3 linked regions of the Alligator mississippiensis genome follow. The protein of the gene in region 3 interacts with the protein of the main gene of each other region in a pairwise test. Links are inferred from orthologs where the notes say so. Each region holds a gene or a part of one and is shown on either strand. Other genes may lie near its edges.

The links.
Region 1: the proteins of ESR1 (region 3) and PNRC2 interact in a two-hybrid assay, tested with the Homo sapiens proteins (2 studies listed by BioGRID and IntAct). The link is inferred for Alligator mississippiensis from reciprocal best matches to the Homo sapiens genes ESR1 and PNRC2.
Region 2: the proteins of ESR1 (region 3) and TRAM1 interact in a two-hybrid assay, tested with the Homo sapiens proteins (2 studies listed by BioGRID). The link is inferred for Alligator mississippiensis from reciprocal best matches to the Homo sapiens genes ESR1 and TRAM1.

Annotation. Positions count from the first base shown.
Region 1 is NC_081829.1:4,429,671-4,437,084, reverse strand, and holds the start of PNRC2 (proline-rich nuclear receptor coactivator 2), read left to right. Parts: upstream 1-4,338; 5' UTR 4,339-4,431; intron 4,432-4,606; exon of another isoform or gene 4,607-5,084; 5' UTR 5,085-5,290; intron 5,291-6,200; 5' UTR 6,201-6,218; coding exon 6,219-6,644; 3' UTR 6,645-7,414. UniProt on the Homo sapiens protein: Involved in nonsense-mediated mRNA decay (NMD) by acting as a bridge between the mRNA decapping complex and the NMD machinery. May act by targeting the NMD machinery to the P-body and recruiting the decapping machinery to aberrant mRNAs.
Region 2 is NC_081826.1:61,158,596-61,166,331, forward strand, and holds the start of TRAM1 (translocating chain-associated membrane protein 1), read left to right. Parts: upstream 1-4,668; 5' UTR 4,669-4,750; coding exon 4,751-4,873; intron 4,874-7,736. UniProt on the Homo sapiens protein: Involved in the translocation of nascent protein chains into or through the endoplasmic reticulum (ER) membrane by facilitating the proper chain positioning at the SEC61 channel.
Region 3 is NC_081824.1:130,605,539-130,613,237, forward strand, and holds the start of ESR1 (estrogen receptor), read left to right. Parts: upstream 1-4,656; coding exon 4,657-5,090; intron 5,091-7,699.

The sequences.
Region 1 (7,414 bases), on a different chromosome or scaffold from region 3:
TCCACCTTTTTAAAGCTAAGGAACTGAGGTACAGACAAATTGCATGACCTAACCAAGGCATCAAAAGAAGTCTGTGGAAGAGTGAGACAATGAATGCAGAGCTTGTGAATCTCAGCCTACTATTTACTGTACTTTTCACATTTTATTCTTTTTTGATCAGTTAAACTGTAACATTCACTTTCCCTTTTGCTTCTAATCTGTTTAATTTTCCAGTTCTTATTAGGAGTTTGCATAAGACAGGGCACAATGGAGAGCTAGGGTACAACTGGAGACTGGCCCCAGCGGTCATTACACTGAAGTAAAGGAAGGACAGATTAGGAGTGGGTGGAGGTTTCTTGGGTTTCATGATTTTATCATTTTTGAAAGCCCCTCATTTATAACATCTAGGAGCAGTTCAGTTCCTGGATGCTAAAAATACCGCGAGGACAAATCTTTTATTTCAACATGAATGGGCCCTTGAGGCAAAAGACAAGCCTGTGAAAACCTAAGCAGAAATACCAAGTTATGCGATTTTATTAATGTTTTTTTTGTAGAACACAATGACACAGCACAGCTGTGTTTTTTTATATGTAAATTAAATTATGAAATCCATTCCACTCATGCTGTGTTAGATTTTAGCATTTAAAAAAAAAAATCTAATTTTGAGAAATAAAAGCTAGTTGATACAGGCCCTTCAGACAAGTTTCTAAAAGTACATGATACAACTGCACAAGGAAATAGAGGAAGGAAGCAAATCAGTTTTATTAAGTTGTCAAATAACTTACTAAGGGATGTTCCATAGCATGGAAACTGAAAACATCTGAACTGCAAAGCCATTCAGAGTAATTAACTTGAACTTTTGTGCTCTAATTAATTATTTTAAAGCCATTCCACTATAAACAGGTTGTGGGATATGTGAGAGCAGGGAGTGAATAATCCTATTAAAATGTAGAGAATATTTTTCTCTTGAGCTAGTATGGGAAACTCTGATATCAATGGTACAAGTTCTGGTTTGCCCAGATAATGAAATATGCAGTTTGGCTGAACAGCTCACTACTTAGTTCAGATCCAGCTGGGGAAACGTTGGATGCCAAAGTTGTTTCAAATATGCTGAACAAGTAAATTCTTTTAGCTGTTTACATGACTATTTTTGTCTTTCAGCACGAAGCACTTATCTAGTATGAAAAATTTACTGTTCAAAATGGAAGGAAGGAGCTATGGGATTCAGTCTGGAGCTTAATCAGAAAAAAACATGAATTTTAAAAGGGTCCGATTCAGAAGAGACGTGTGGGTGTTTCATTATAACTTTGAGAGCACATATTTCAAGAGGGAGCTTGAAAAGCAGTTAAAAAGAAAATACAGTATGTTCAATGATACGAGTATGGGAAAGACCTGAGGCATGCTAGACCAGGAAATGATTAGGAAATAGTTGTTTAACTAGTAAGATAGGCAGCAATATATACAGTTTGAATGAATCCCACGGGGACAGTCCTTGCTGGATACATGTTAGAGTGAAGACACTGTTTGTGCTGAGTAGAAAAAACAATTACAAATACCAGAAGTAAAATGTTCACGTGATAGGACACTATTTGTAACCCTATTTTTAAATGTTTTTAAAGAGGATGACCTGTTAGGTCACGTGAAAACAGCTGAAGGATGAAACAAAATATTTAGCTAAACTTTTGTTGATTTAACAACTTATATTTATATCAGATAGGAAAAAAATGTGAACCCTCACGCTTCAGCACATTGCCTAGATTAGAAATAAACACCTTTTAGGGGTGGAGTATTTTATAATTGTGCATTATGGGGGTGTTGCACTTTTTCTCTAAAGCAGCTGTTTTTTGCCACTACTCAAGGCAGCATGTTCGGTGATTTGATCCTTCGTGGCAGTTTGCTCACTTCCAGACCAGCTCCTATATACAAGTGTGTAGCAGGCTGAACATAGAGAGTGTCGGCTTTTAATATTGCTGTAATGCTTCCCAAGTTTGCTTATGAACAGAAATTGTGCAGTTTGGATTTGCCTTTTTTTTTCCTATCCACTCTGACACCCTATTAGAAAACCAGACTCTTCTTATTCTATTACCATAAATGCCTCCCTAATGAGAACTATTTACATACAGGTGGTGACCCTGAATATAGAAAGACACTGCATTCTGTTCAAAAAGGATCATTGTAATGCTGAGTCATAAATAAAAATGAATATATTGATAACATTACAATTGATACCGCTACAATTCAGTTCTGGTCCAGTTCAAACGAGTTATCTGTCCTTAGGTATTGCCAGAATCAAAGTGAGTCCCTTAAAAGAACAGAACCTTAGACAGACCGAGCCTACAATAGTTATAGAGAACTGAAGGCTTCTTTTATATCACAGATGAATTAATCAAATGGTATTTAATCAACATGAAGTTGATACACATGTGATCAGTGTATGGTCTCAATATCCAGAGCTTGCATCAAACGCTGTATTTCTCATGCATGTTTGTTTTGAGGACAGATCTCAGACACAGAACCTACTATATTATTTGTCTCTAGAGCAGCTGGCAACTTTATTGGGAGTCTTTACTCATGTACTTGAAGATTAAATTATACTCAGACTCGTGCCAATTTAGAGAACTCAGATGGTGTCATGGCACTTACTCTAGATTTATTGCAGTTTGGGCAGAATTTGGCTTTAAATCAGGATATAATCTTGGATACTTTCTTGACCAAAGAGTAATTCCTTTAGTTTAGGATGACACACTTCAAAGCAAGGCTACTTATGCCCAGTTGTGGTGGTGGCGGGGGGAAACACAGGGGGTAGGGCTGCTTTGTTTGTAGATGTTAGTGCTCACTCTGGTAAATTTGGTACTATTAACGGGTGCTAAAATAAAAGCCCTTAAATATATTGCTTATTAATTATTCTGTGCGAGTTCAGCATTGATACTTGAAGGCAAGTTCAAAATGATTTCAACAGAACAAAATCATTTAACAGATGTTGAAGTGTTCTGTAATGTAAATAGCAAGTACAAACATATACCAGATTGGGATTATGGTTGGAAATAGCTAGGCCCCGGAGGCTATGTGCTACATAACATCCTCTCTTTGGCTTGTGTGGAGTACTAGATGAGTTTAGACATGCGGAGAGCTGGGGTCACATACACTTAATATGCCTTTCCTTTTAGCTGGCAACACGCAGAGTTTACAAAAACATTTTAACTTTCATCTGCTCAAAATCAGATTGTGTATTGAGCGTACAGCTCTGCCTACACTACCATAATATGCTTTAGGAATAAGAGCATTTACAAGAGAGAGTTGGGAGATGGTTATCTGCCGAACACGCATACTCAGAGATCTCTTTCCTCTTCCGAGAACGTGGTAACACTTATTTTTGCAAAACTTGTTACACCTCTCTATTGCTCTCCCTGAACGTATGCTTGTTTCAGAAAACATCCAGAACCCGACGATCAATCAAATAACACAATGGTTCTCCGACACGTTGAGTCATACTTGTTGAGAAATACTGTGTTGTAAGTTTATTATGCGTATCGCTGTGAGTAACAGGGCTGTCAACAGCCACGCACGTAACGAAAACCGGAGTGCTGTATAGCTGGGTGGCAAGGCACCAACTCCACACGGGAGGGGGATGGACTAGGGGCAGAAGTTACACCTAAACCGGTTTAAGTTGTCAGAACCTGGTTTAAACCTGCAATACAACAGAAGTTCGGTGCAGGTAAACCCGTTTCAGAATGGCTGAAACCGGTTTAAGATAAACCTGGTTGAACGTGGTATCGGACCGAACCGGTTCGGGTCAGACGGGTTATGAACCGTCTCTCCCGGACCCCCGAGCGCGTCGTTTTTGCGCTCTTCGACGCCGCTCTCAGCTCCGCCGCTTTCACGGACGCGGGAGGCGTTCGGCTTCGCGTCCTAGCTGCCGGTGTCAGGAGACGGTCTGGGAACCAAAACAAATCTCTTCTTCTGAAGGGGACAAGTAGTTTCTCGCCCTCCTGGCTTTCCAGAACGTGGGCCGCCGCTTCCTAACAACTCAGGTGCTTGAAGACAAAGAGAAAAAAAGAGTTTTTGTTTTGTTTTAAACCAGTTCCCCCTGCTCTTTGTGGGAGGGGTGACCCATCTTCCCCCCCTCCCCAGTGCCCAGGGCAGGGGGGGGGGGGGTCTCCTCAGGAAGGGACGACGCCCCCCTCCCTACCCCTCAGCGCTCCCTCCCCTCCCCCTTCCCGACAGGCTCCGCTCCCAGGAGCAATTCAAACCGCCACCGCCAAGCCCCGCCCCTTCCTCCCCTCACGCCCCAGCAACAGGCGGACCCGGCTCCTATTGGCCGGGCCCGTGATGCGCCGCGCTCCTATTGGCTCGCGCCGCAAGAGGGAGGGGCGGGGGGAGCCGCGGCCGTATAGAGTACGGGGAGGCGGCCGCCATTTCGTGTGGGAGCGAGCGAGCGAGGGGGCGGCCGCGGTAGGAGTCCGTGGAGCGGGGAGTGAGCGAGCGGCGGGGGTGGCTCCGCGCATAGCGGAGAAGCGGCGGGACCGGCTGCCCGAGGCTCGGTGCAGGCGGGAGAGGCGGGCGGGGTGGGCGGGGGAAGGAGCCGAGCGCGGCCGCCATGTTGTGCCGCTCTATTGTTGGGGGAGGGGTCCGTCCCGGCGCTGCCCCGAGCCCCCGGGGCTGGGCCCCGCCGCGGGCGCCGCGCCTGCGAGTGGCGCTGGAGGCTCCGCCCCCTCGCGGACCCACGAGCGTTTCCCGCACGGCCGCGGCGTCAACAAGTGGATCAAATGCTCGCATCGGAGCCCGAGGAGAGACGCGTTTCCGTGCGCTGCGCCAGGCCCTCCCTTGTTTGTTTAATTAAAATGATGATGATTATTTTGTGTGTGAAGAAACAGTAAAAACGCAGCCTCACGGAAACGAGAGCGGCTGTGCAATGGCCCTACGGAGGATAAATGGTCTTGGACGTCGTCCGTCTTTTGTTCGCGAACTGTCTTCGCCCCTTTGTCTGGGGCGAGGGAGCGTGCCCTGCCCTGCCGGGCACAGTTTCAAACCCAAGACATTTTTCAGCGATCAGCTGTTTGTTTTCTTTTTCCCCGCCCAGGGTCAGTTTTCGCTTCTCTTTGCAGCTGGGACTTCTCACCTGGAGCCTGTTTGCTGAGAATCCGATGTGGGGCTCGGCTTCGTGGCTGGACACGGCAGATCGGCCCATGAAAACGTCTATCCCCAGCCAAAGGAAGAGGTCCGGCAAAAGACAGCACCTCCTTTTCCAGGCTTGGCAGCAGAAGAGGGGACGGGAGGTGGCGGCGGTAGAGTCCGAGAAGAAGACTGAAAGGTAACGGGGAGAGCGGAGCACGAGCCGGCGTTTGGCCGTTATGTCTCGGCCAAAAGTGCTTTGGGAAGTAGCTCTTTGAAATTGCGCTGAAGAATTCAAATGCTTCTCACTCTTTTCATAGTCTCGCATCGTTATATGAGCACCCTCCAATAATTTTGCTGTGTTTTTTTTTTTTCTTTTTCCCCCCACCTCCCCAGGGAGAAAATAGCATGTTTTGATGATGATTATTACTATTATTTATTCTAATTTTAAAAAGTCATAGCAGCCTCTCTTTATTCGTGAAGGCAAGTGGCACAGGGCTGTTAGCTTGGGGGTTTGTGACTGCGGTTTTGATTGTTCTGAAGAGGTTTTTTGTAGAATTAACGCTGAAGTGACCCAGGTCACTCCACTGTTTTCTGGAAAAATAAAAGGTAGCATTCTGATAAAACAGCTGTTCTGGAATGGTCAGCTGCGGTCCCTGTGTAGAGGTTTAGGCAAAGTTCACTTATCACCGATTGTGGATGTTCTAGTTCAGCCATGAAGGGGCTGAGCTGTTTACAGCCTTTCTACCTAGCCAGCAACTGCAGACTGTATCATTCATGGATACTGCGTGAGGACTTAGTGTGAAGAAACACTCCTGGGCTGTGGACTGATTTAAGCAATCGCAGTCCGGATGCACGTTCTTGATTGAAGTGTTTCCAAAACAGGACTTGACAGTGTTTGTTCTGTGAAGCGCTGGGCTGTCTCAGTGACAATAACAGTCTTCTGTTGTGAAGGGCAGGTAGTACTAGAGGTCACCGAACTCCAAACATTTTGTTTTAACATTGGAATGCATTCATTGAATTAAGCTTGAGTTAGTTTAAAAAACAAAACAACTAAATGAAAGGCTCTCGTGGAACTTCAGTAAGTGTTACCATTCCCTCTCAAACAGGTGACATTGAAGTTGAAGATGGGTGGTGGAGAAAGATTCAACATTCCAGTTCCCCAGCCTAGAAATATTAACAAGAATCACCAACAACTTAAAAACAGGCAAAAAAGCAAAGATCAGAATTCTCAGATGAAGATTACCTATAAGAAGAAAGAAAGGGGGCATGGATGCAACTCATCATCTGTTGCATGGCAGGCCATGCAAAAAGGAGGAAAGAATGCTGTGCACTTCCAAAATAATCAGAATTGGAATCCTGCTTTATCAAGTCCCAACACACTTTTTACATCTCGAACCAATCAGAACTATGCTGGAGCAAAATTTAGTGAGCCACCTTCACCAAGTGTTCTTCCTAAACCTCCAAGCCACTGGGTACCTGTTTCTTTTAACCCTTCTGATAAAGAAGTAATGACCTTTCAACTTAAAACATTACTAAAAGTCCAGGCTTGAGAGAACTTGAAACACATTTAAAATTACAGGGTTTCAAATTTGAGAATGAGTCAAAATACATAGTTCCAAAATGCACTGTTTCTCATGAGATTGCTTTGTTGCATATAAAAGTTGTGTCATGACGAGACACGAGGACTTTTCTTGAGGATCTCAAACTTCCACCTCATTCAGGTTTGGTGCATTTTACTGTGAAAAACGTATTTACTTACCATTATGCAACCTAATCAGTTTTTTCAGTGGCTATTAATGCCTGCATTTACTGTATTGGTCTTAAATTGAACTGTTCTCAAATTTGAAGTAATGCTACTTAAAAAAGCTGGGTATCTCAGTGGGTAAGAGCTGCTGTTATAAAACCAACTTTTCTACAATGTAATGCAGCAATAGAAAGAGTATGCAACTTACAGAACACTATGAAATCTTTAGAAAACAGAACTACTATCTTTTACACTTAAAGGTCCATCAGTCACATGAAGTCTTTTTAAGGCTAATTAGCAAGGTTTTTTTCTAAGCAAGCCTCTATCTGGCTCCAGTTGTATCAGTGAATTTTTACTTGGCATTTGTCAGTCATCAGTTGACAGGGCAGACTAACATCTGAGCCTGTGACCAAGACTTTGACTTACTCCAAATTTTAGGGGAGGGGGGTGGTAAAGAAAGTCAAAGGAAATAACATCTTGAGCTTTATCAAAATATAGCAATGCATTTATCTAGAACCTGACCAAGTTGAAGTGTGCCAACTAATGCAGCACTTTGCAGTGCCAGGTGACTGCTAA
Region 2 (7,736 bases), on a different chromosome or scaffold from region 3:
CCATGTTTAATAAAGACGGAATCTTGAAACAATTTGCCTACACAGGCGAGTAGGGCGCAATTGGGTTCTCATCTCCATTCCCAAAATACCAACACATCCTGCCTGGTATGTGTGGCATAATGGGAGGCATACTAAATAGGACTGGTGCTCAAGTCCCATGGTGCCTTGTCTATCCTCAGCCTGAAGCCCTTTATAAATTATTGGTGTGGTCTAAAAATGTTGTAGAGTAAAAATACACGGAGGGGAAAATAGAGTAAGGTGGTCTTCTCCAGAAGAATCCTAAGCATAGAAAGTCCAGGTTGGATGAATGGACTGTAAGGTGGATAGAAAACTAGCTGGATCATCAGGCTCAAAGGGCAGTAATCAATGGCTCAATGTCTGGTTTGCAGCTGGTACCAAGCAGAGTGCCCCAGGGGCTGGGGCTGGTTTTGTTCAATATCTTCATGAATGACCTGGAAGATAGGATAAAGTGCATCCTCAGCAAGTTTGCAGATGACACCAAGCTAGGGGGAGTAGTAGATGCGCTGGAGGGTAGAGCTAGGATTCAAAGTGACCTAGACAAATTGGAGGATTGGACCAAAAGAAATGTCATGAAATTCAATAAGGACAAGTGCAAAATCCTGCACTTGGGATGGAATAATCCCATGCACTGGTAAAGGCTGGGGGCTGACTGGCTGGGCAGCAGCTCTGCAGAAAAGGACCTGGGGGTTACAGTGGACAATAAACTGAATATGAGCCAACAGTGTGTCCTTGTTGCCAAGCTAACAGCATAGTGGGCTGCAGTAGTAGGAGTGTTACCAGCAAATTAAAGAAGTAATTATTCCCCTCCATTTGGTACTGAGGCCACATCTGGAGTACTGTGTCCAGTTTTTAGCCCTCCACTAAAGAAAGGATGTGGATAAATTGGAGAGGGCAGCAAAAATTGTTAGGGGGCTAGGGCACATGACTTATGAGTAGGCTTGGCAGGATTCAAGTTTATTGATAAACATAGATAAGCAGGAATTTCACCTGACAATCACAGGCTGATGGAAAAAAATACTTCTGTTGGTAATCATCAATATTTATAGAAAAAGGAAGAAAAAAATCAGGGATGGGAGTAAGGAAATCTGGGGCAGCAGATGCCATGCATGTATACACACAGAACCTCAGTTGTGCCACCCATGCACTGCTCCTCTGGCAGCAACTCGGACAGCCACTGCAGGAGCTGGAGTTGTGCTGGGAAGGGCAGGTCTGTTGGCAGCTGGGAGCCCAATGCCACAGGCTGCTTGCTCGCCCAGGTCCCAACCAGGGATCAGGTGCCAAACTCTTGGTGAGCCCAGGCCAGCCCATGTAATTGGGGCAAGGGCCAAACCTCTGCCTAGCCAGGGATCTGGGTTTTCCATTTCCCATGGAAAAATGGGGTAAACCGCGGATTTTACCTTTTACTGGAGCCAAACACGGACTTCTCATTTTACCAGAGAAACCTGCGGATTTTGCAGTTTTGAGGAGCCCTCTGCAGGATAGCAGAGTTCCAGCCTGGAGGGTGTTAGAAGGGAGTGTTGGAAGAGGGTGGTCAGGCAGGGGGCACCATGTACATATATGCACATGGCTGCCATGCATTCTGGAGAGCAGCTCCTGCAGGTAAGTGTGGGGGAGAAGGTGGGGATTGAGGCCTCCGTAGGGAGGGAGGGAGTTGAGTGGGGCTGAGGCTGCATACTTGGGGCCCAGGGCTGCAATGTGCAGCCGCAGGGCCTCAGCGGGGAGTGGGACAGGGCCACAGGCTGCTTGGTATGGGGTTTGTAAGAAAGAAGTCACCCAACAGGCAAATCACATTTTTGAACACTTGAACAACAAGACTCATTTGAAATTAAAAGCAAGTCAAACAAAAACAACACAGGTTACGATGGAAGCCTGTTTGGGAAGAATGAGACAACGGAAGGAAGAAGCAGCGGATTTCCTTCACGATCTGGTATGCATGTTGTGCTTTTTGTATTAATGTGGCCCAGGGTTCATGCTATTTATTTGCTCTGCTTCACAAATATACACCAGCACATTGTACTTGCTCAGAATGTTGTCAGCTGGAAGAAAAATACTTATCTGAAGTTTGCACCCACTGCCAACCAGGGATTAAAGAACTTTTGAGTGATGAGAAATTTTCTTTAGTAATTGAAGAAACCCCTGAGCTTGCAGGACAGCCAGCAATTAACACCCTTGCAGTGTTCTACTGTGATAAAAATAAGTCTGTAAATAAAATTCAGTTAAAATCCTCTGTTCTTCAGTGCAATGCAGGGATCATCTCAGTTTGGATTCAAGATGTGTTGAGAGAGTACAGCCAAATGTGAGAAAACTGTGACAATCAACAGTGACTCCACAATATACACGCAAATACCTTGTGAAGGACTTGAAAGAAATGCCTCCACATCTACTGCAGTAACTGCACATTCTATGTGCATTGCTCATCTTTTGCATGTGGCCATTGATCTTGCATTAAAAACAAACAAGTTCCACAACATTAATGGATTTGTGGTACCTTTTCTAGGAATATTTAAACATCTCGACAAGCAAATGTGACCATTTTTTATAAGTCTGTGCCAGAAACAACACAAGTCCATTGGATTTGCATGTGTCCCCCCCCCCCCCTTCCCCATTGTGCAACCTCACTAGTTTTCCTGGCTTGCTGCAGCAAAATGCATTCATGCCTATTGGGACAGCGTGACAGACTTTCTTACTAAACAACAAGATGTAAATAAAGAAAACAAAACTATGCGGGATGGTCAAGGAAAATGGAAACCAATGAGAACTACTGCAAGGTATCTTTTGCTCATGTGGTTTTGGGGAACCATATTGTTCATTTGCAAATGGAAACAAATGCACCCCTGATACATCACATTAACTCTCTGCTTAACTGCTATCGACAAGTTAATGCTGATATAAATAATGCTTTGAAAGAAGAACTAGGGGACAATGCGCTATAGATAGCCACCCCTTTCATCTGCAATGAATGATTTGCTTCACAATTTCAAAGCAAACTGAAGGCAATCCTATCCTACAGTGTACCAGACACGTTATGGATTGGGATCTGCCTTTGCTAACTGTAAAGTGTTTGACCCATTTATTGAGGCTCAGATGTCACACAGTTATAGTGACTCTGAAAATATTCTGTGTATTTTCACTTGCAAGGCTGACGAGTTCAAGTACGACTTTGACCTGCCCATGGCACGTGAAATGCCATTATAGCAACACAACAGTACTTGATTATTGGAAAAGTGAGACCCATTTACTGCCTGTCATGGCCCATGTGGCATTATGTGCACTCACAGTGCCAGCAATCTCAGTGTTTGCAGAAAGATTATTTAGTTTGTTCAGAAAAGTTCAAGACAATATTGCATGCGCCTCTCTGAAGACTGACTTGAACAGCCCAACTTTTTTGTACTACAATAAAGACATAGATTTAAATTTGGAAAGCTTTTGAAATCTGGATTAGTCTGCTGGATCTAGCAAATTATGCATTCCAATAACTAACAAAAAAAGGGTTTAATTTATTAATTTTTTCACTTCTATGAATGTACTACCAAATGAACAGAATGATTTAAAGTAGGTATACTGTTCTGATTTATGGATATTTTCTTTTTATATTTTAATGTGATTTTATAAAGCTTTTAACAGTATGTTGTCATTAGGCATGGGCGGCAGATAATTTAGTCATTTCACACAACCCTGAAAAATTAAATCCATAAAAATCAAAAGAAATCATGGGCGACTGATGTCATCTTAGTCAAGGGGGACGTGTCCTGTCAGCAACCGAGGGGGGGTGGTCCCCCCATGGCCAAACCCAACCCTCAGACAACCCCTATGTGTCACCACTGAAAGAAATGCTTTAAAAATGTTTATTTTAGCTGTCGAAACTATTAAAAAATAAAAATTGAGTTCTGCCTCACTTACTTAGGAGAGGCTGAGGGAACAGGGTTTATTTATTCTGGAGAAGAGAAGACAGGGATTTAATAGCAGCCTTCAGCTACCTGAAGGGTGGCTCCAAAGAGGATGGAGCTAGAGTGTTCTCAGTGGTGGCAGATGGCAGACAAGGAGCAATGGTCTCAAGTTGCAGCAAGGGAAGTTGAGGTTAGATGGTAGGGAAAAACTCCCTCAGGAGGAGGGTAGTCAGGTACTGGAACAAGTTACCCAGAGAGGTGGTGGAAACTCCAGCCTTGGAGGTTTGTCTAGGCGGGTTTTAAAAAGCCTGGGTTGGGATGATCTGGTTGGGGCTGGTCCTGCTTTGAGCAGGGGGCTGGAGGCACGTCCTGCGCCCCCTCCCACCCCTCATTTGCTGCGCTTCTGACCGCCCTTCGGGAGCTGGCCAGTCACACGGGGACTCTGCTCCCCTCCGTTTGGATGCATTTCTGCAAAGGCTTTTGAGCAGCTCCTCACGGCAACCGGGCGTGGTTCAAGACCGCTCTTCCTTCTGGCAGCGGGGAAAGCCTGGCGAGCGGCCGTGCACAGGACCCCCACCGCTGCCCCGCCCGCGCGGAGGGCTCCTTAGTTTGCTCTGCACCGCGCGAGGGGTGGCCCTGCTTCGCTGCGCTCCCGGCCGCCGGCCGCCAGGGGTCGCTGCGGGCTGCCGCTGCCGGGGGCGGCGCGAGGCGGAAGCGGGGCCCGGGGCCGCGCGCGGGGCGGGGCGGGGCGGGGCGCGCCGGGCACCTCCCCTGTCCCCTCTGCCTCTTCCTGGCCGCGGCGGCAAGGGGCTGCGCTAGCGGCAGAGCGGCGCGGGCCCGCCATGGCGATCCGCAAGAAGAGCAACAAGAACCCGCCCGTGCTGAGCCACGAGTTTGTGGTACAGAACCACGCGGACATCGTGTCCTGCGTGGCCATGGTCTTCCTGCTCGGCCTCATGTTCGAGGTGAGCCCTTGTCCGTCCCTGCCGCCCGTGCCCGTGTCCATCCCGTGGTGCCCCGCGCACGCTCGCCCCGGCGCGGGTGTTGCTGAGCCGTCGGGGCTGTGGGGGGCGGGGCCGGGGCCGTCCGGTTACGTGGCAGTAGCGCGGCGGCCGGGGCGGGGTTGGGCGGGGAGGTCCCGGCCCCCCCCCCCGCCCTCCCGTCCGGCTCGCGGAGGGGGGGGGGGGAACGGTGGTGGTGATGACTTGCACAACGCCCCGCGCCCCCCCACCCCCACCCCGGGGCGTAGGCGTTGGGGAGCCTGGCAGGTGTCAAGGAGGCGGGTGCCCGGGACAGCGCTGAAGGCATGGGCAGAGCCCGGCGGGGGCTGAGGCTTCACACGCCCTCAATCTCCTTCTCCCAAACTGATGCGTTGCATGGGGATGCGGGGGCTCTCGTTTTGCCTCTTCTGGTTCCATGTAGTTGTTGCCTGAGGAGGCCGCAGCTCCCTCAAATTGGGCCCGAGCAGGGAGTTGGACTAGGTCAGTGTTTCCCAATGGGCGGGTTGCGAGAATATTGGAAAGGGTGGCAAAAAAACTTTAAAAATGGATTCTCCTTTAAAAGCGACACGTGGGGAAGTGTGGCTTTTCTGGTGCAGGCTGGCAGAGCTCCAGCCTGCAAGGCTGCTTGGAGGCCCCCCCACCCTGCGCACTGGGAGGCTGGGATCTGGGGGTGCAGCACGGTGGCTTAGAGTGGGGACGTTGGGTTGGAACTGGCTGTCCGTGTTTACAAATGGGCCCTGGAAAAAAAAATGACTGAGATCCTCTGGGCTAGATGACCTCTTGCGGTCCAGTCCCTTCCAACCCTCGCTTCCTATGATTCGACCTGCCCCATTGCTCCGTGGCGTTTTTGAGCAAGGGAGCTACTTTTTCCTTTGCTATCTAAATGCGGCAAGGGCAGTTTGCTTCTGATGGGAAGAGCGGATTCGTTTGGGCAAAAATCTGAACGCGGCGGCTTTTCAGGATCTGTTTTCAGCACATTGTAAGTGTTGTGTTGGCACCCAAGAGTTCCTTTTTGTTAGCATCTGTCTGGTTGGCAAATACCAGGTCTAGACTAGAAGGGATCGCATAGGTTGTTGCAGGCAAAAGGGCCCACTTGGGTTCAAAAGGATCTGCAAGAATATCTGTTCTTCTGCCCTCCCTCTCTCCCCACATGCAGACACTCCACAAACACCAGAGCTGCCTGACATAAACTGGGAGGCTCTTGTACAAAAAACTCAAGAGCCTTTCAGACTGCTTTAGCAGAGAGCAGGAGAGACAAGGACACACGTGATGCCCTGGGGTCGCTGCAGTGGCAGGGATTTTTTTTAGGTAAAATATGCCACATAATCCTAGGAATTGGAGCGTGCTACAGAAAAGCGGGTGAGAGGTAACAACTCTTGCTTGCTATGGCACATAAATCTCCATCTTATTGATATATTTGAATAGGAAGGTTGTGGTTGTACAGAGGTCCTGTTTACCTTTTTGACTGCTTTTTACTCTTCTCAAAACCAGTGGTATAGTATCTTGTTTGTGCTGTTAACTGATTTTGCTAACGTTGTAAACCTATTTGTATACTGGAATGTAAGGTGTTTTGGGGTTTTTTTTTAATTTGCTGGGGGAAGGGGGTGTAATTTGCAGTTCTTTCAGTCCCCACAAAAAGGTCAAGCTCTGACCAAGCTTTTCCAAGCTCTGTAAACTTATTTTGATATGGAACAAATACAGAGTTACCCCACTCAGTTGTACCTCAGTTGTACCTCAGTTGACCTTGCTTCCAGCACTTACTACTTTCTTCAACGTTTTATTCCAAAATGAAAGGATTTCTCAGAGTCTGTCTATACTTGTTCTCTTAAATAGGAAATGCGTATTTATGATTTTAAGATATTTTGACCTTTGTAAATTCACTGTCCAATGTCTAGGGCCAAATATTGGATGATGTAAGTGTGACTAATTGCAGAAGAGGGGATTGTTTAGATTCCTTAAATCTCTTCATTTTCAGTGTTTTAACTTCTTTATTCTTGCTTGTTTTTAAATGAAATGGTTGGGCCTGGGGATACTAGGTGGGCTCCACTGAAGCCTTTTCCAATATGGCTATTATTAACCACAGTTTTTGCTTGAAAGTTGGAACAGATCTACTTTTTTTTTTTTCTTTACTGACTACTCACTTCTCATAACTTGTTTCTACTTATCATGGTTTTACTTCTTGCTCAGCATACATAGTGTCACTGCTATAACTTCATTCCATTCACCTTGCTTGTATGACGCTTAGCAGTTTCTGAGTCTGTTAGCTATTTTCCTGAACTGGTAAACATAAAATGGTCTATCAGCCTCTTCATTCTGTTCTTTCTATTGGTTCTCTTCTCCTTTTTCATCTGTAGCATGGGTGGTGTATTTTGAAAATGGGGTTTGACCTCAGAATGGCTTTCAAAACTGGCTAACGTATTTGCCTAAAAATAGGTGAAACTGGGTTGTAGGAAACAACTGACTTCCTTCAGATTAGCTGAATCACTAAGCTAAATTAGTGTGTATTAAGAAAGGAACTGCAGTTCACATTATTAGTTTAATATAGTAGAAAGGGCTAACTGGTAAATGTGCAGTATTGGAGAAGCCTGAGAGTTGTGTTTTAAATATTCTGAAAATGCTCAGTTCCACAAATAGCCTGCCTGTATTGTATGAATTGGCTTTTGGGTAAGGCTGTTTATTCTAACTTGAAAGTCAGTCCAACGGACTCTGAGATGATAGGAAGTTTCTTTCCTTAATTTTGTCTTGAGTGTGTGTTTCTCTCCTGCCCTGCTGAGATCACATAGGTGTTTTCTGCTTAATAAATATGTTGCCAATGGTCCATTGATAA
Region 3 (7,699 bases):
CGTATTAGGCTTTGGGCTCACCATGAAAGTCAGCACATGTATAGCTAGTTTCTGCTTTGATTTTCTTGTTGAAATGAAGTGTATACATTGCAGTTACAGGGTGTGTCTACATGAGATTTTTACTGTGCAGTACACTAATTAGCTGCACAGGAAACGTCTCACGTCTACACATGCACCCCTGTTAGGCTGCAGTAAAGTCACTTACTCTGCAGCAGGATCGCATTTGTAAATACAAGTCCCTTGTAAATACAAGTACTATCCTGATGCAGAGTAAATTAGTTTACTGCAGCCTAAGAGAGGCATATGTGTAAACGCGAGGCATAAATACAAGTACTTCCCTGCTGCGGAGTAAAAAACTCTACAGCAGCACATATGTAAACACTGCCCCAGCTGCGTGGGGCATGAAGGTGCTTCAGTGCAGGGGCTGCCTGCTACCTAGCCCTACAGTGAAGCATCCTCATTCCACAGCCAGCCCCTCCGCAGCATATTGAGCCAGGTTGGAGTAGCCCCGGACTGGCAAGCTGACTCCCTAGGCCCCGAGCCAGCTGGGGCTGCTCTGACTTAGCTCAACGTGCTGTGATTCCAGGCGTATGTGAAGACATGCACCCAGGAACAATAATCTCTGGAGCGATAAGCTCCGGAGTTTATTCATATGCATTAATATGCAAGTGTAGACATGCTCACAGAAGCTTGACTCTCCTTTTGCAGTACCCCTATGTTTCTCTTTCCCCTACTTGTTCTTGTATTAGCTTCTTTATCCACTTTTGCATGATAACTACTTTTATTTGCATATTCCTACACTTTGCAAATTAGAAAAAACTGATCTAAATGCTTAATTTAGAAATGAATGTCTAATGTCACTATGTCACTAATGAAGCTTTTCAAAATAAATTCTCTTTACATTTTATGAGAGAGAGAGAGATGGCCTTGTCCTGTATGTGAGTTCTAGGTAAATATATTGCAAGATAGCCTTTTTCAAATGTGAGAAAAAGGAGACCAAGATATTTGGTAGCTTGGCTACAATTGAATGTGCATTAGTAGTGTAAGCACTGGGTCTGAAATCACTAGAGTTTATATTACTTGATATTTTAAGCACTTTTGATTTATATGAGTTAAGTAAAGGCATTGTAGCAAGCAGATGTGGGCTAAATTAACCATTTAGTTAATTATATATATCTTTAATGTGCAGACTGTAAGTGGCAATTTGTGTTTTAAAAACTACCCACATAAATGTTAGCAAATCACATAATTATTTTCAGGATGTTTGTAAGATGGGCTACTGTGCCCATTTTTTATTAAAAACTGTGGGATCTGAAGCAAAAGTGCCAAGTACGAGTATTAGGTATATTTCCCAGATGGGAAATCTAAGAATCAATAAATCAGAGTGACCAGGCTGGATTTGTACATAGCAGAATAAGCTCTGGCCTCTAAGCACAAAGACCTTGTTTCAAATACTGGGTCTTTAATTTTTGTGTGTGCAAGATTGTGCACAAAACCTTTTAAACGTGTTACACCTATCTGTAAAATATGACCTACAACTTTACAAATTGCTTTGAGATTTACAGAAAATAGTAAACGTATAAAATATTACAAGTTATTAGAAACTTTTCACCAGTCTTATGTTCTGGAGCCTATACTACCAGCTGCAAAGTAAACGACTTTTTTTCAAAAAATAATCTCCTGAAACAAACTGCAACAAAGAAAATCTGGGGGCAACTTCTTTTCAGGTTTGGCGGTGTCCTGAAACAGAAGTTGCTTAGTCCAACCCCCTAGATCCTCACTGAAGAGAGCCACTCCCACTTCCCTTACATTCAGGTGCGGTAACAAGCTCACTTCTAGAGTAGCTGTCAGGGCTTGCTAAGCCCCTTTGCAACAGAACAGGTACCTTCTAGGTAGGCTGGGTGTTGTAGGAAACACTGACAACTGGTTACAGCTTAAATTTCTTTGCAGATACTCTGCATCAGTTGCATAACTGTTACTGGGTAGGTAAAGTTAAATTTAACTTCCATGTTTTCATCCTTCTTTTGTACCCTGCCCTGCATGCCATCACTGCAGCTCCATACACTCGCCTATACAGAGCTGATACGGAGACTTTGAACCAAAGTGTAATAAAGGGGAAAAGACGGGGTTCTGTACTATTGTTTTCACTTGTTGTACCACACAAAACTTCCAATGCCGTTTAGCAAATAGTTGTAAATGATGGAATTTATCTTTAGTTTTCTAACCCCCTGCCCCCCATGGCCAATTGAATGAAAATGCCATTTGTTTTTGTTTTTAAACATTCAAATTTCACAGCATTGTGTTCAAAAGTCAAGTTACTTTTGTTTTTGCAACTATAGGGCAATGTAACATTTATTATATGTTGATATCATATCTTTCAAATAAAACAATATAAAATCATACAGTGTTTTAAATCAAACCTTACATGTACAAGTGTAGCATATTTTAGAAATGGGTACTACCCTCCTCATAGTAAAATTAGACATAATTCTCAAATTATGCAGTATAAGAGCAGATCATGTTAGATAATGTTGTGGTTTAAATATATCTGATATATGCCAAATGACTTTGCATGCAGTAACTAACCTTAAACTTGTAAACTGCCATGCATTATGGTCTGTGTAGCACAGCTACTGGCTCTTGTATTCAGGAAGCTGCTGAGAGCTATGCTTGCTTCATGAGCCCTCGCAAAAACTGACATGCACACTGCACATGCACATGCATGCACGCACACACACACACACACATACACACACACACACTCTTTCTTACACACATTTGCACATTTTGACATATTTTCAGAATATTTCTTAGAAGACTTTCTGTACTGCTGGGTATGATTGTCTGATCTTTTTTTAAAAAACTAGGTATGTGTTTAGTTCAGCCTTATTTAAACATTGTTATCTATTTGATCAAAGTCTACAGTCTGAAATTTGAGTTGGGAGTAGAAAGTGGGGGGAATCTATCAAGTACATATACATTGAAGTGTATGCTGCTGTGTGTATAGTATGTATGCAGAGTTCGAGCATGTTTCAGTGAAATCTTACAAGTACAGGTTATTTTTTTCTTGTTTAGCAAAAGCTCTGATATGTTATATTAATAGTTATTTTCTTTAGGTTAAACCATTTATAGTAAAGTTGATTTGAAACTAAATCATGTTAAAACTTGCAAAGATATTTCTATACTTCTTTAAACCCTATTTAATTTGATTAACATGATTTTCAAATGGTTGTCTGATGCATGTAGTTATTTTGGTATGATTTATATTTATATTAATACTCAAGCCATGTTAACTAGAGCCCTGTATTTGTGTGTTAGGTATTTAAACCAATCCATTGTACCAACTGAACCACAGACCATAATAGCATTGCTAGAGAACTTGCAACAATTTTCAGAGGTTTTCATTAGATTGGTGCGGGACCAACAGTTTCTGTTAAGTTAAAATACAATGAAAATAGATTGCCAGAAGACACGTGCCTGCCACACTTTTTCACTATAATTCTGTTTTTCTTGCTTAGTCTTAAACGTAGCTTTAAGTGGGACATTTTTATTTTATTGAAAAATTGGACCTTTTGTATTTTTTTGGATTTTCTAAATTGGTGTCTCAGTTGAAGTGTCCTAAGTGTTTATCACTAGGAAATCAGGAAGAAAATACTCCTATTCAATTTGTTAATATTCAATTCATGTTTCACATAATTAACTCTATTTTTGACCAGCTATCTGGGATTCAATATGGCAAGGTTTAATTGATGCTTTATTTCATATTTAAGCTTATGTTGCTCTGATTTTACATACTGAACAAGAAGCAGGCAGAGATGTACAGGGGAATCTTAAAGGATTTTCTTTTCTTTTTCCTCTTGCATTCAGCTGCCAGTTAAATAACAAGAATAATCATAATTCTTTTCTCCTACATAGATATAGTAGATCCATTAATTTATTTTAAATGGAGTTTTACTGACTGACTAGCTGCATACACACACACATGTACACACACATTGCACTCAGCCATATCTCAGTTACAGCATAGTCCTAGCCAGGGTCATTACAATGTACACATTACATATTTCTAGCAAACATGAAAATGAATCAAACGGGAGAAGAGATAAGCAGAGATAGATTGGAGCCTGGTGGGAAAATAAAAAGCAGTAATCTGACTGACCACGGGACTAGTCTTCCTAATTTGATATAAATACTGTTTTGCCTTAAGCACTGTAGAGCATCAGGGCCCTGTGAAGTGAAAAATTAAACAACTAATAAGAGTGAAGTAAAGTGTAGTAGAACAATTATTTGGTATCACTCCAAAACTAATTGCTTCTGAAGTGATGTTTAAACCAATGTCAGCACAAGGCAAGAGTTCCTGGCCTATGGCCAGCACCTTTGTAATGCATATTAGCTCAGATGAGAAGTACTTAAAAGTTGCAGAGAAAGGAGAGAGAGAGAGAGGGGGAGAGGGAGAGAGCTTTCTCAGTGCTAACGCTGTATTTGAATGTATGCTCCTCCTTGCTGAGATTACATGAATACCTGTGCAGTGCTGCCTTAACATGATATTTGCGGAGCCTCAGACTAGAATCTGTTCTTTTTTCAGGTGGGCTACCAGCTGCTGATCTGTCTGCTGACAATAAAAACAGATATGCCACTTGCTCGCTGCCATTAACAATGACCATGACCCTTCACACCAAAACCTCTGGAGTTACTCTGCTGCACCAGATTCAAGGCACTGAACTGGAGACTTTGAGCAGACCTCAGCTGAAGATTCCCCTAGATCGATCGCTCAGTGAGATGTATGTGGAGAGCAACAAGACAGGCATTTTTAACTACCCAGAAGGCACCACTTATGATTTTGCCACTGCTGCTCCAGTGTACAGCTCTACTAGCCTCAGTTATGCCCCTACTTCTGAATCATATGGATCCAGCAGTTTGGGAGGGTTTCATTCACTGAACAATGTCCCTCCAAGCCCAGTGGTATTCTTACAAACTGCGCCCCAGCTCTCTCCGTTCATTCATCACCATAGCCAACAAGTACCGTACTACCTTGAAAATGATCAAAGCGGCTTTGGAATGAGGGAAGCTGCCCCTTCAACTTTTTACAGGTAAATCTTGCTCTTGCCTTATTTTAATGTGCTACGGAGTGCAAATTAGAATTGAGACACACATATATTGAATTGGCTCTTTTTATAAAAGACTGCATAATTTGATTAGTGGAGAGATAGGCAAATTATTAGACTATAAGCGATAGCATGATATAAAACAAAATGGCTGGTGTTTGGCAATAGCGTGATCGGTGGTGTAAATGTTAAAAACTGTATGCATGGGAAAAAAATGAACAGATGTATGCCTGGGGAAAGCAAGCCTAAACTCAGAATCTGTAAATGAACGAAAACGTAACAAACAAACCGTGAATGAAAGTAAGAGTCTGAAATATATTAGAAAGGAATTTATCACTTTTGGTCAAGTTTGAATCCCACGTAAGTTTAGTTGTTTGTGTTTAGCACTGTTTGGAAAGTGAGAGCGTATTTTTGCGGTTCTCTCCTCAGCGTCTTGTTTCAGTCTCCCCCCTCCCCCCCAATAGTAGAATACATTTAGAGCAGTTAGGCTAAAAATATCCCATTTCAGAGCAAGGGGGAATATATTGCATTCCCATTAATATTTTTGCACTTACTAAGACATATAACTATTTTTTTGGATGAGGTGGTGGAATGTGGCTCACACTGTAGCTGCAGAGAATTCATAAATGTAATATCTCATATAGAATGTCATTAAGAGATGCCAGGTCTCCTGTGTCCCTTTTAACGTGGAAACAACAACAAAATATCCCGTGAAACATAATGGAAATGTTTTGCCTTATTGTAAAAATTCCAGGAATGCAACTCACTCATCTCAATTTTAATGTTTGTATGGTACTATGGGTAACATAGTTTTGTGGCAGAATATTGTGTTAGATTATGGTGAGTTGATGTTAAAAGCTGTTTTTTTCCTTTTCTGATATATGTCTGAGTCAGTTTATCTGGGAAGTGAAGGTCAGATCGCTAGCAACAGAGTGCAGACTTAAGGAAAACCGCTGCTCCAGTTTAGAAACTCAGAGTTTACCACTGTTTATCATGTTGAATAGTACTTTATGTCAGTGGGACTGTTCATAGCTTAAAGTCATATTCAGCCCAAGTAAGGATGGCAGGATCTGGCCCCCAAACAGGCGAAAAATAGCAGTTAGTGAAAAGGATGTGTTTATCAGGTGGAACAGAAAACAGCACAAAGTTTGGCAGAATGAGAAGTACCAATAATGACAGGACAATCATACAGAGTAAGCTGGCTCACTTGATAAGCTGGATTCATTCAAATAAAATATATTTTAATATACCCAACAGCAAAGTTATATTTATAGAAGTAAGGAATGCAAGCCATACTTGCATAATGTGGGGATGTATCTTGTAAACCTGTAACTCTGGAATAGGATTGAATGGTCATTTTGGACAAGCAGTTTAACATGAGCTTGCATTATTATACTGCTGGGCCAAAAAAGGGCTAATGAGATCTGTGGGCACCTAAAGAGTAATACTGCTACTGGAATGCTGTGTCCAGTTCCAGTGTCTATAATTTGATAAGGCTTTTCGCAGTTTGGAAAGGGTGCAGAAAACAGCCACAAAACTGATTGGAGAGCTGAAGAAGATGCCACATTGTGAGAAATTGGAGCTAATTAGAGCAATTAGGTTATTGAGAAGAAGGTTGAGGAGCTGTTCACAAAGAATCAGTCCCCCCAGAGGGAGAGAATATTGGGTAACAAAGGGTTCTCTAATATAGAGCAGACATGTGTGATAAGAACCTGTGGTGGAAGCAGAAACTAGATATAAATAGGAAATAATGCACTCTTGTCATATTGAGCCTGATTAACCATTGGGTTAACCATGGACAACCACTGGATTATTCATAAACTGCCAAAGAATTGGTGAGTTTTCTGTTTCTGGATGCTTCAGAGCAGCATTGGATGCCTTTCTGGAGGATCTACTTTAGTCAAACACAAGTTACTGTGCTGAGTAGATTAATTAGGTGATGTTTAATCACCTGTGATATACAGGTTGTCAGACCAAATGATCTAATGGTTCTTTCCAGCCTTAAATTCTATAAATGCACCTTTTCACATGGTCAGAGCAGAGTGTAATGATGAAGTTTCTACTATAGTAAAAGTTTGATTGACTGAAGTGTGATTGTCTATACTGATGACCTTACACTGACAGCCGTCTGAATGACTTGAATTAAATTGGAAAAAGCACTGCTGTTTCTGTATCTGTAGGGTTGGTCTTAACAAGGCATAGCTCTGAAAATGTTATAGCTCTTTACATCTTCCTTGTTTTAGCATAAGTCTCAATCATAAATAGCCCATTAAACAAAATAATTGTAATAGGTATGCAATTTAAGGAGGCATATAAAGATAAAATCAGGGGTTGAAGAACTAGCACTTCCAAAAAGAAAGAAGTGGACAAATTTCACCCATTTTTGCCTTGATTTACTTATTGGACTAGCAGTCCCATTGACTTTAGTGGGAATAGTTGTGTAAAGTGAGCAGCAGAACAGTATGACCTGGCATGTATAAACTTAACCTGGGAATTAGAAGAAAATGTGAAACTACCAGAGTAGTGAGGATTTACAAAAGCTTTCCAATAGTCATAGTAAAGGCAAAAAACTTAATTACTTTTAAGATGGAGCT